Linked DNA regions of Caenorhabditis elegans. The protein of the gene in region 2 interacts with the protein of the main gene of each other region in a pairwise test. Each region holds a gene or a part of one and is shown on either strand. Other genes may lie near its edges.

Region 1 (4,069 bases), on a different chromosome or scaffold from region 2:
AAATTGGTTAAAAGCTTTCAGGTAAACTATGAGGAAGGCGAGTACTTTGCCAAGTACCATAAAATGAAGTTTATCGAGACGTCGTCGAGAACAGGAGACAATGTTAATGAAGCTTTTCATATGATTGCACAAGAGGTTTTTTTGAAAATGTTTCAATTTTATGATGTAATTTTCAAATTTTTAGATTCAAAATCGAGTCGACGACGGAGAACTGCGGCCCGTGGATGGCTGGGAAGGCCTTAAAACTGGTATTATGAGGTCACAATCCGTGTGCCTATCCGAAAGAAGTTTCCCTCAAAACAGCAGCGCAGGAGCTTGCGGATGTTGATAATTTCTCCTCAATTTTTTAATTTTCCCCGTAGTCATAATTTCGCGTAGCGTTCTTATAAACATCAAAAACTCAGCTATTTTGTGTACTTCCTGTGAGCTTTCTCCTTCATCCAGTGTCACCAACCTCACCTACTCTCCCGGCATGCATTCTTTTGAAATAATTTCTAGTCGTTCTGTCCAAAAACTTCAAAAAAAAAGATTTTTTTTCAAACTTTGTTGTAAAAATACAATTTTACAGTCGAAAAACTAGGAAATTATCGGGATTAGAAGAAAAGTAAGAATCACAATCACTATTCAGGACAACCTGTCAGGGGTATCGGGAAATATTGGTAAGTTTTAGAAGGTCTTGATTTGACAACAATTGGTCTTGGGGAAGGATGGGCATTTTGAGAGTGAATATACAAAATAGAAAGGAGAGGAAATAAATTAGATGAAATACAAAGAATTATGAGAAATTCGAGAAGTAGAAGCAATTGTTTATTGTGATCCAGAAGGGGCAGAGCAAACACTTCGAACATCCCAAATCATAATCACACGATTCTGTCCACTGGTAACTAGAAGTCCGAGAGTTTCCTGGAGATGCATAGCAGTGATTCCAGTATGGATTTCATGTGGAATTGCAAGTGGAGTAAGGCTAAAATTGAAAATAAGTTTCATCAGTCATTTGCTTTACAACTTACTTGAAATTCTGTGGATTATCTTTCATTCGTGCATTGCAGTCATTACAAATGCGAATTTTCGTCTCATATCCCATTGGTGGATAGGTGGTCCAGTTGTCACAGCAAGATCCACAGACTGCTGATCCACAGGTTCTGCAGTGATGTTGTCTCAATCCGACCACTTTCCTCTGCCACATTGCTTGAAGATTCCAGAAGAACGGTTGATTGCATTTCTGACAGCAATCCGAAGTTTTCCATTCAGGAGTCTCAACTCTCTTGCAATTCATGTCCCAGCACATGAGCTTTCCGTGTTCGTCAGCCGAGAACAGACGTTTGGCTGCTGGAGCTGCGCATAGTGTTGTCACTTTTCCATTGTGTCCGCTGAAAAAAACATTTTTTAATTTGGAAAAATCTATTTCAACTAAATATAATTCAACTTTTGCGCTCGAAAAACATCAACACTTTCGAAATATCACGTAAATTCCAGAAATATACACTCACTTAAGCTCATAAGCTTCTCCTCTTCCTCCTCCGATATCCCACATTATGATGAGATGATCACTGCTTCCAGAATACAAAACTTTCTTATTTCCGTCCCATGTGAGCGAGGTGATTGCATCTGAAAAATCATTGAACTAATTCAAACCACAATTACTAATTGTATTGATTGTGGGGAATTTCAGGAAATACTGGAATGTTATACTTAACAAATATTTTTCCTAGGCACGATAGCATTTAAAATTTCGAATTAATATTTTACTCAAAAAAAAAGAATACGATAAAAACTCACTCGTATGTGCACTAAGCTTGCTGACAAGATTTGGTTGATTATCGACAATACGAAGAACAGTGACATGCCCACCATGATCTCCAACGAATACAAATGGAAGATCAATGACCATTGCTGTACAACTATTTTCCAAAAGATAACTTCCCATCTTATTTGAATTTTCTGAACAATGCCAGACGATAGATTTATCTCGAGAACAGCTGAAAATGAGCTCGGAGGAGAGTGCAAAGCCGAGTCCAGAGATTGGTCCAGCGTGACATGTCCATTTTCGGGATTCTGTCATACTGTTAAAGTCATCGGCAACACTGAATTCATAGACATTTCCATTGATAAGTCCGACGAGCAGCCTGAATAAAAAAATTAAAAATTTAAAAAATAAAACGATTTAAACTTTAAACTAACTTATAAGTTTCTTCACTGTAATAAAGACTTGTTGGAGCAACTGGCATGAAATGATGAATTGACGGCCAAAATTGATCATTATCTCTTTTTAAGTACAGGCGAACGGATCTATCATCACTTGCAGTCCAGACTCCTTCGTCTTTTGATAGTAAAATGACGTCATTGATACGAGCCACGTGGCCAGTGATTCTGTGAAGAAGAGCTGAAAATTAAAATAAATTCGAAAATTACACAGGTTATGGAAATCAAATGGTTCGTTTTCAATTCACCAACCTGGTTTGGCTCCTCCCATACTTGATTCGCCCTGTTCGACGCGTTGATTGATTATTGCAGCCATAATGGCTGAAAATCTGAAAGAAAATCAAATTGAATGCCAATAAATGACACATAAAGTTTAGAGGACGGAATGCAGATGTTTAAAGCAAAAATCGATAAAACCACGTGTTCTCGCCCGTTTGTTTACACTTCTGCACCTTTTTTACTTTTGTTACTATTTCTGAACTAAATATTTCCTTGTGGAAATTGAAATTTTTATCAAACTAATTTTGCAACCGGTCTGGAAACAGATGAATCAGTGCCCGGTAAATAACGGAAAACCGGTGCGGCCGAGAATGAACTTGTTTGGTGGACTCTAGGCCATTGGCTGTTTTAAGGAGGATATTCAAATTAACAGCAACGTTTGAGCTTTTTATTTAATCGTAATATATTTATTCGCATGTTTCTATAATTTCTCAACAGGAAAATGACTGTTCGTCACGAGGAGTACATGTTCAGCTGTGATTTGAAGTGAGTTTTGCGGTTTTTATGTGAATTTCGTAATAATTTTGAAAAAAAAGTGCAAATGCATAATTAAAATTTAAAACAAACGAGAAAAATAGAGAAATTTAATGTTAAAATGCGCAAATAAAGAAAATAAATGACAGTACCGCAATTTTTTCAAGGCGCAAGAGTCAGAAAACCAGACGGGTCCCGCAACGACTTTAAACTTTTATGAATTTACAGGCCTAGATTTTCTTACTGTACTAATTTTTTTTAAAATTTGAGTTATATTTGAAATTTTTTGCAGAAAACGCCGAGTTTTCGAAGAACAACAAGTTTCACGGGCTCTTTTGAATTTTCGATGGACAAAACATATTCCTATGGGTTGTGATCAGACGGGGAAAGGCCATCAAGAAGATATTAGTGCGATTGATATAGATGATGGTGACCAAATGTTGGTTTAATTAGGAGTTTGTTTAAAAAAAATTGATTTTTCAGGCTACTATTTGGATCTCATAGTGGTTCAGTGTCAGTTGCCAAATATAAATACTTGGATCGTAAAAAGTGGAAGAAACCTATGACTCTGTATGTAACAACCGCAATAATTCTAAAATTTATCAAGATTTCAGAAAACTTGCGAAGCAATCTCTGAAAACAATAAAATGGTGTCCAATCGATCTTCGCCTTTTCATGGTTACAACAGCATCAAATTGGATGCGAGTTTGTGATAGTACCATGGAAAAAGTGGTTCATGGGAAACAATTTGAAGGAGATGTTTATTTTGATTGGAATGAGTATAATATGACAAATTCAAAAGTTGCCGTGGCAGATGGAGGGAGATCAATGAAAATTATAGATTTTAGGTAAGCTTTAAAAGTTCCACGAAATGCCTGCCTACGTGCCTGAAGGCTAGTGGATCTTGTATTGAACAAGAGCTATATTTTGTTATGACTGCCTAACTTTCTAAAACTTTGGTCTTACAATTTCCCCTGGTCGAACCTCTTGTCTTAAATTTTTATGAATTATTTCAAAATTTAAAATTTAATTAAAATTAATTAACATTTTATATTTCAAAATAAATATCATTTCAGAGTCGGAATGGATCTACCTCAATCGATATATTGGAATG
Region 2 (5,024 bases):
GCTGCTTGCTGTCCTTGTTCCAGACCGATGAAGTGTTCTCCTGAAGATTCAAGTCCGATTGCAGTTGTATTTTCAACATCCCCAGTAACTTCAGATTCTTTATTTTCAGAGAATTCTTTCTCCGGTGGATCTTCCTGTACAGAATCTTTCAAGTTCTCTCCAGAATCCTCCAAACCGATGACAGCTGCTGTTTCCAATACATAACTCTCACAATTGTCAATCTGACCTTCTTCATGTTCTAGATCCGTACCGATAAAGTTGTCTCCAGAAGATTCAAGGCCAATCGCCTCTGGAGATGCATTTTCCGCATCTTCCGGAATCACAGAACTGTCAATATCAGAAGATGTCAAATTTTTCTCATGAGCAGCGACAATCTCTGCAAGACCAGAATCCTCAAGCCCAATCGTTTCTCTTTGAACAATTTCCGTTACATCATCCTGTTTGATATCTGCGCTCTCACCAGTTTCATCAACATTTCCAGATGCATCGTGTTCTTTAAGTTCAGAAAATTCTTGATCTTCTGAAGATTTCAACTGTGATTGTTTCACTTCATCTCCAGAATCCTCCAACCCAATGACATCCAATTCTGAACTTTCAATCCCTTTGATGGGCTCTGGCTGCTGTTCTGGATCCGTACCAATAAAATTGTCTCCCGAACATTCAAGTCCGATTGGGGTTATATTTTCAGCAATTTCGGTCACTTCAGAAACTTTATTTTCAGAAAGTTCTTGGTTTGTTACAGTTTCCAATGCTGGTTCTTTCAAAATATCTCCAGATTCTTCCAACCCAATGACTTCTTGGGTTACTAATTCGGAGCTCTCAGAACCTTTAATTTGTTCTGTGCCCTTTTCTGGATCGGTACCAATGAAGTTGTCTCCAGACGATTCAAGTCTAATTGGGGTTGTAATTTCAGCAATTTCAGTCATTTCAGATTCTTTATTATTGAAGTTTTCTTGATCTGGTGCAGTTTCAAGTAAAGGATCTTTCAAAATATCTCGAGATTCTTCCAACCCAATGACTGCTGGGGCTTTAAAACTTGAAGTTTCCTCAACCGCTTCTTTTTGAGATTGTTCAGCTCCTGCATTTTGCTCGATGCCTGCGTTCTCTCCAGATTCTACAAGATCGATTGCTTCCGGATTCTTAGATTCTCCAACTTCTTCGTTCAAATTTTCTGCGGTATTTTCAGAAACTTCAGTCACTTCAGGCTCTTTAATTTTCGAGAATTCTTGATTTGATGCTGTTTCCAGTGCATGCTTATTTATAATATCTTCAGAATCTTCCAATCCGAAGACTGCTGGGGCTTCGAAAGTCGAAGTTTCCACAACCCCATCAGCAGAGCTTTGAGGTTCCAAATCACTTTTAGAAGTAGAATCATACTCTTGATTATCTTGAGTAGGTCCAATTTCTGCAACATATTCTTGTGTTTCTTGGATTATTGGTATAACACCACCTTCATCCTCAAGACCAATGAAGACATGCTGAACATCCGTATTAATTGTATCTTTTTCGGATTCCAAGTCCGCAGAATAATTTCGAATTATTTGCAATTTTTCGGCTGCATCTTTGAGAACATCAGATACAGAGGAATCCTCAATTTCATAATTGTCTCCTGTTGGAGTTGGCGTCTTAGAGTCCACAGATTTTACAAACGAATTTTGGAAAGTTTCTTCCTCAGGATCATCATCCAAATCATCCAAAGTGTCATTGGAAGTCAACTTAACTCTTTCGATAAAGTCTCTTGCACCTTCTCCAGCATTCGCTTCTAGGACTGTAGTGAATGACTCAGTTTCAGTCTGTTCATCTTTTTCAACTGGTTTAAATGTAAATTCAGTAAGTTCAGCAACATCTGTAACTTCTTCCACAACGTTATCTAGTTCTTCAGATGGTGGAATGTCCTCAAAAGTAATGGTTTCCTGAGAATCAATACTCACATCTTCCATCATTGGAATTGTATAAACCAATTCAAATCGACGATCAGTTGGCTCACGGAACAAAAGATCCACTTCGACTTCCTCATCCTCAAATTCCAATTCATCCAGGTTGATTTCGGCACTTTTTGAAATGGTGTAAGCTAATTCCATTTCTGAATTCTTTGGCTGACGGAACAGTAAATCAGTTTGCACATTTTCTTCTTCTTCTTCAAAAACTTCATCATCAAGAGGTTCATTGAGAATATCGTCAGGAAGTTGTTCAACTTCCGAATGAGAACAAGAGGACCCACCGGACTCTGACTCAGGAGTTTGAAGGGGTTGAAGAGCAAGTGGCTGGAGGGATTTTGGCTCATGCTCAGATGTTGGCTCGTTTGTGGAATTTGTCTCCTCTGAAATGACAAAAAGATTTTCCAAGGAAATTTAAGAATATTATTTTTTCTAAGTGAAAGACCTTGACAAAGCATTAATCTCGACCTTTTAAATTTTGATTTTTAATTATTTCAGTGTTTTTTTGCTTTATTTTTGAGACCTATAAATGCTCCAAAAGCTCTTTTCCGATATTTTAATATGGGTTTTCGAATTTGATTTTCAGATTTTTTTCCGAAATATATCGGAATCCAAACAATTTCCACATAATTTTGTCGACTTTTTTACCTTTTTATCTTTTTAAATTTTTTTTTATCTTTTTTAATGCCTAAAAACTATTTTTTGAATCATTTTTGCGGGATGTCTAGAAATAAACTGAAAAAATCAAAAACAAAAATTTCAGAGGTAGATATCGGATATGTGCCTACTTGGATACGTGGAACATTTATTAAAGTTTTTTTTCAGAAATTTTAAGTTAAAAAAGTTATATAATGCTTTTTCTTATGAACTTCAAAATTTTCAAAATTCACAAAAAAAACTAGCAAGAGATACAATCTATTAGAAATCAAGCTTTTTCAATTTTTTTTTTTCAAACTGCATTTTTACAAACTAAATTTAAAAAAAATATGAAAAAACACTCACCTTTCGGGTCAATCCAAATTGTCTTAACCAACTCAAAATTTGTGATCTCCGGTGGTTTTCGAAAGAAAAGTTCCACATCGACATTTTCAGCGTTCATTTCGTTTTCAGCATCCATGAAGTGGTGTTTTTCGTGACAAAATTTTTTGGAGCTCACAAAAATGTGCTGACACGAGATGAAGGGACCCCGAGGAGTTCACCATGTGATTGTATACCCTGCGTCTCCGCACAGGTACATGATATTTCTGCGGGGACAGCTGCCGTCTCACCGCAGGTGATGAGCATTTTTGCTTTCTCTCGGGGTTTTCGATCATCTCGCTCTTTTGTGCTATTTTGTTTTTCTTTTTGTTGTTGCCCTCTGTCTTCTTCTCTTTCATCTCATTCATCTCTTTTTCAGCTCAAACAGAGATCCAAGTCATACGTTTCAAATGACAATAGGGGAAAGATGGGGGTGTCAGTGATAAGCTCAAAATCATGGTGGCTTCAAAATTATTTAAAGGAAAGCACTTAAAAATCTCATGAAATGCCTGCCCATGAAAGAGAAACAGTTTTTTTTTCTGTTCTCGAAGGTTTCGAAATTAGTTTTTTCAGCTTCCTTTTATTGACCGATAAATCTTGCATGGCGGTCTGTTCACCTGTTTAAATATTATGTTGAAATCAAAACAGAGCGACCGTGTTTTGGAAAACACGCAGAGAAGCACGAATGTGAATAAGAAAAAGTCGATCTCAAATTTCTACGTCATTTGTTCAAACGCATATTGACTTATTTAACAGCCACTTAATTTTTTTCGAATTCACTGCTGATTTTATAGTGCTTATTGGCAAAGGAAATATTTTTTGAAAAAAAGTTCCAATAACTGACTTATTTTTGAATTTTTTCTGACATTCAAATTTAAATTCAATTAAAATTCTGAAACTGCCAAAACAACAATATATTTTTAACATTACAAATTTATTAAATTTTTTTTCAAATTCACATAATCCAAAACAATCGTTTATGTTGAAACCCGTTATAAAAAACCATTTTCTGGTTGATTTAAAAAATGACTTTCAAATTTATGAGCCGCGAAAATTTAAAATTGGCACATCTTGATTGTAAATAAATCTTGCAATTTTTAGTGGTAATTGCACTATAGAAGATATTTTGAACAATTCTCCTACTGACGTTTCTCTTTTTAAAAAAATGAGCCAAGATATAAGCTCACAAAAAAAGAAGCAGTACTAGTAGTAACAATATTGAAAATTTAGAAAGTCTGACATCTGAAAAAGCGAAAATAAATATAGCAATATGCAATTTGTCTCGTTTTTCCATGTTATCAATTGATATCAACTCATATGTTCATGGAAAGAGTGTGGTGAGTGACGTAAGCAAACAAACAAAATTGTTTTTATTTCCATAACCTCTATTTTGAAAACTTCCAACTGTTTCCATTCCCCCAGTTACAGTCAATTGTCAATCTATAACATACAAAAATGCCAGTTTATATTAGATACGCAGACAGCTAGAACATTTAAAGCACGTGCTGTGTCGGCTGTTCAGATGTAAGAGGGGCATCTGTTGTTAATCGTAAATCACATTGACAGGTAGGTCAGAGAGTTTTGATGACGTGGATTGGGGGAGAGGGTTGGGTTTCAGAGTTTTTTGTCAGAAAAAAGTTTTGGAAAAGAAGAAAGAAGTTGATCGAGTAACTTGAGAAAGTTGTGAAATGAAATTTTGAGAAAAAAAAATGAAAATGAAACAAAAAACAAAATAAAAAAAAAGATCGAGAGAAGATAGATAATTCTGCCAATAGAAAAGAAGATAGAAACCTAATGGCAGGTAATTAATTATATCAAGTCTAAATGAATCATTTCCAAAAAAAGGAAGTTGTCAGTATAAACTTAGTTTGAAGTAACAAAACGGAACATTCATATTTGGAATTCATGAAAGAGTTGACGGCATGTCAGAAAAGTTGGAGAACGTCAGGAAAAATTGGGAACTCAGCATTGTTAGAATTGCACCGTAAATATGGAAAATTATTTTTTATAGTGCTCAAAAATTGAACACAAATTGCACAAGAAATGTCTCAAAACAAAAAAAAACGTTTC

Evidence for each region.
Region 1: the proteins of ret-1 (region 2) and wdfy-2 interact in a two-hybrid assay, tested with the Caenorhabditis elegans proteins (2 studies listed by BioGRID).

What each region holds. Positions count from the first base shown.
Region 1 is NC_003280.10:9,318,327-9,322,395, reverse strand, and holds wdfy-2 (WD repeat and FYVE domain-containing protein 2), read right to left. Parts: upstream 2,532-4,069; 5' UTR 2,519-2,531; coding exon 2,455-2,518; intron 2,384-2,454; coding exon 2,182-2,383; intron 2,127-2,181; coding exon 1,780-2,126; intron 1,609-1,779; coding exon 1,491-1,608; intron 1,371-1,490; coding exon 1,011-1,370; intron 965-1,010; coding exon 808-964; 3' UTR 518-807; downstream 1-517. Other genes in the region: Ras-related protein rab-39, read left to right, coding at 22-135, 185-328; csa-1 (WD_REPEATS_REGION domain-containing protein), read left to right, coding at 2,924-2,967, 3,248-3,394, 3,439-3,525, 3,570-3,803, 4,032-4,069. UniProt on the Caenorhabditis elegans protein: Plays a role in coelomocyte endocytosis.
Region 2 is NC_003283.11:14,844,277-14,849,300, forward strand, and holds the start of ret-1 (Reticulon-like protein), read right to left. Parts: upstream 3,037-5,024; coding exon 2,940-3,036; intron 2,321-2,939; coding exon 1-2,320.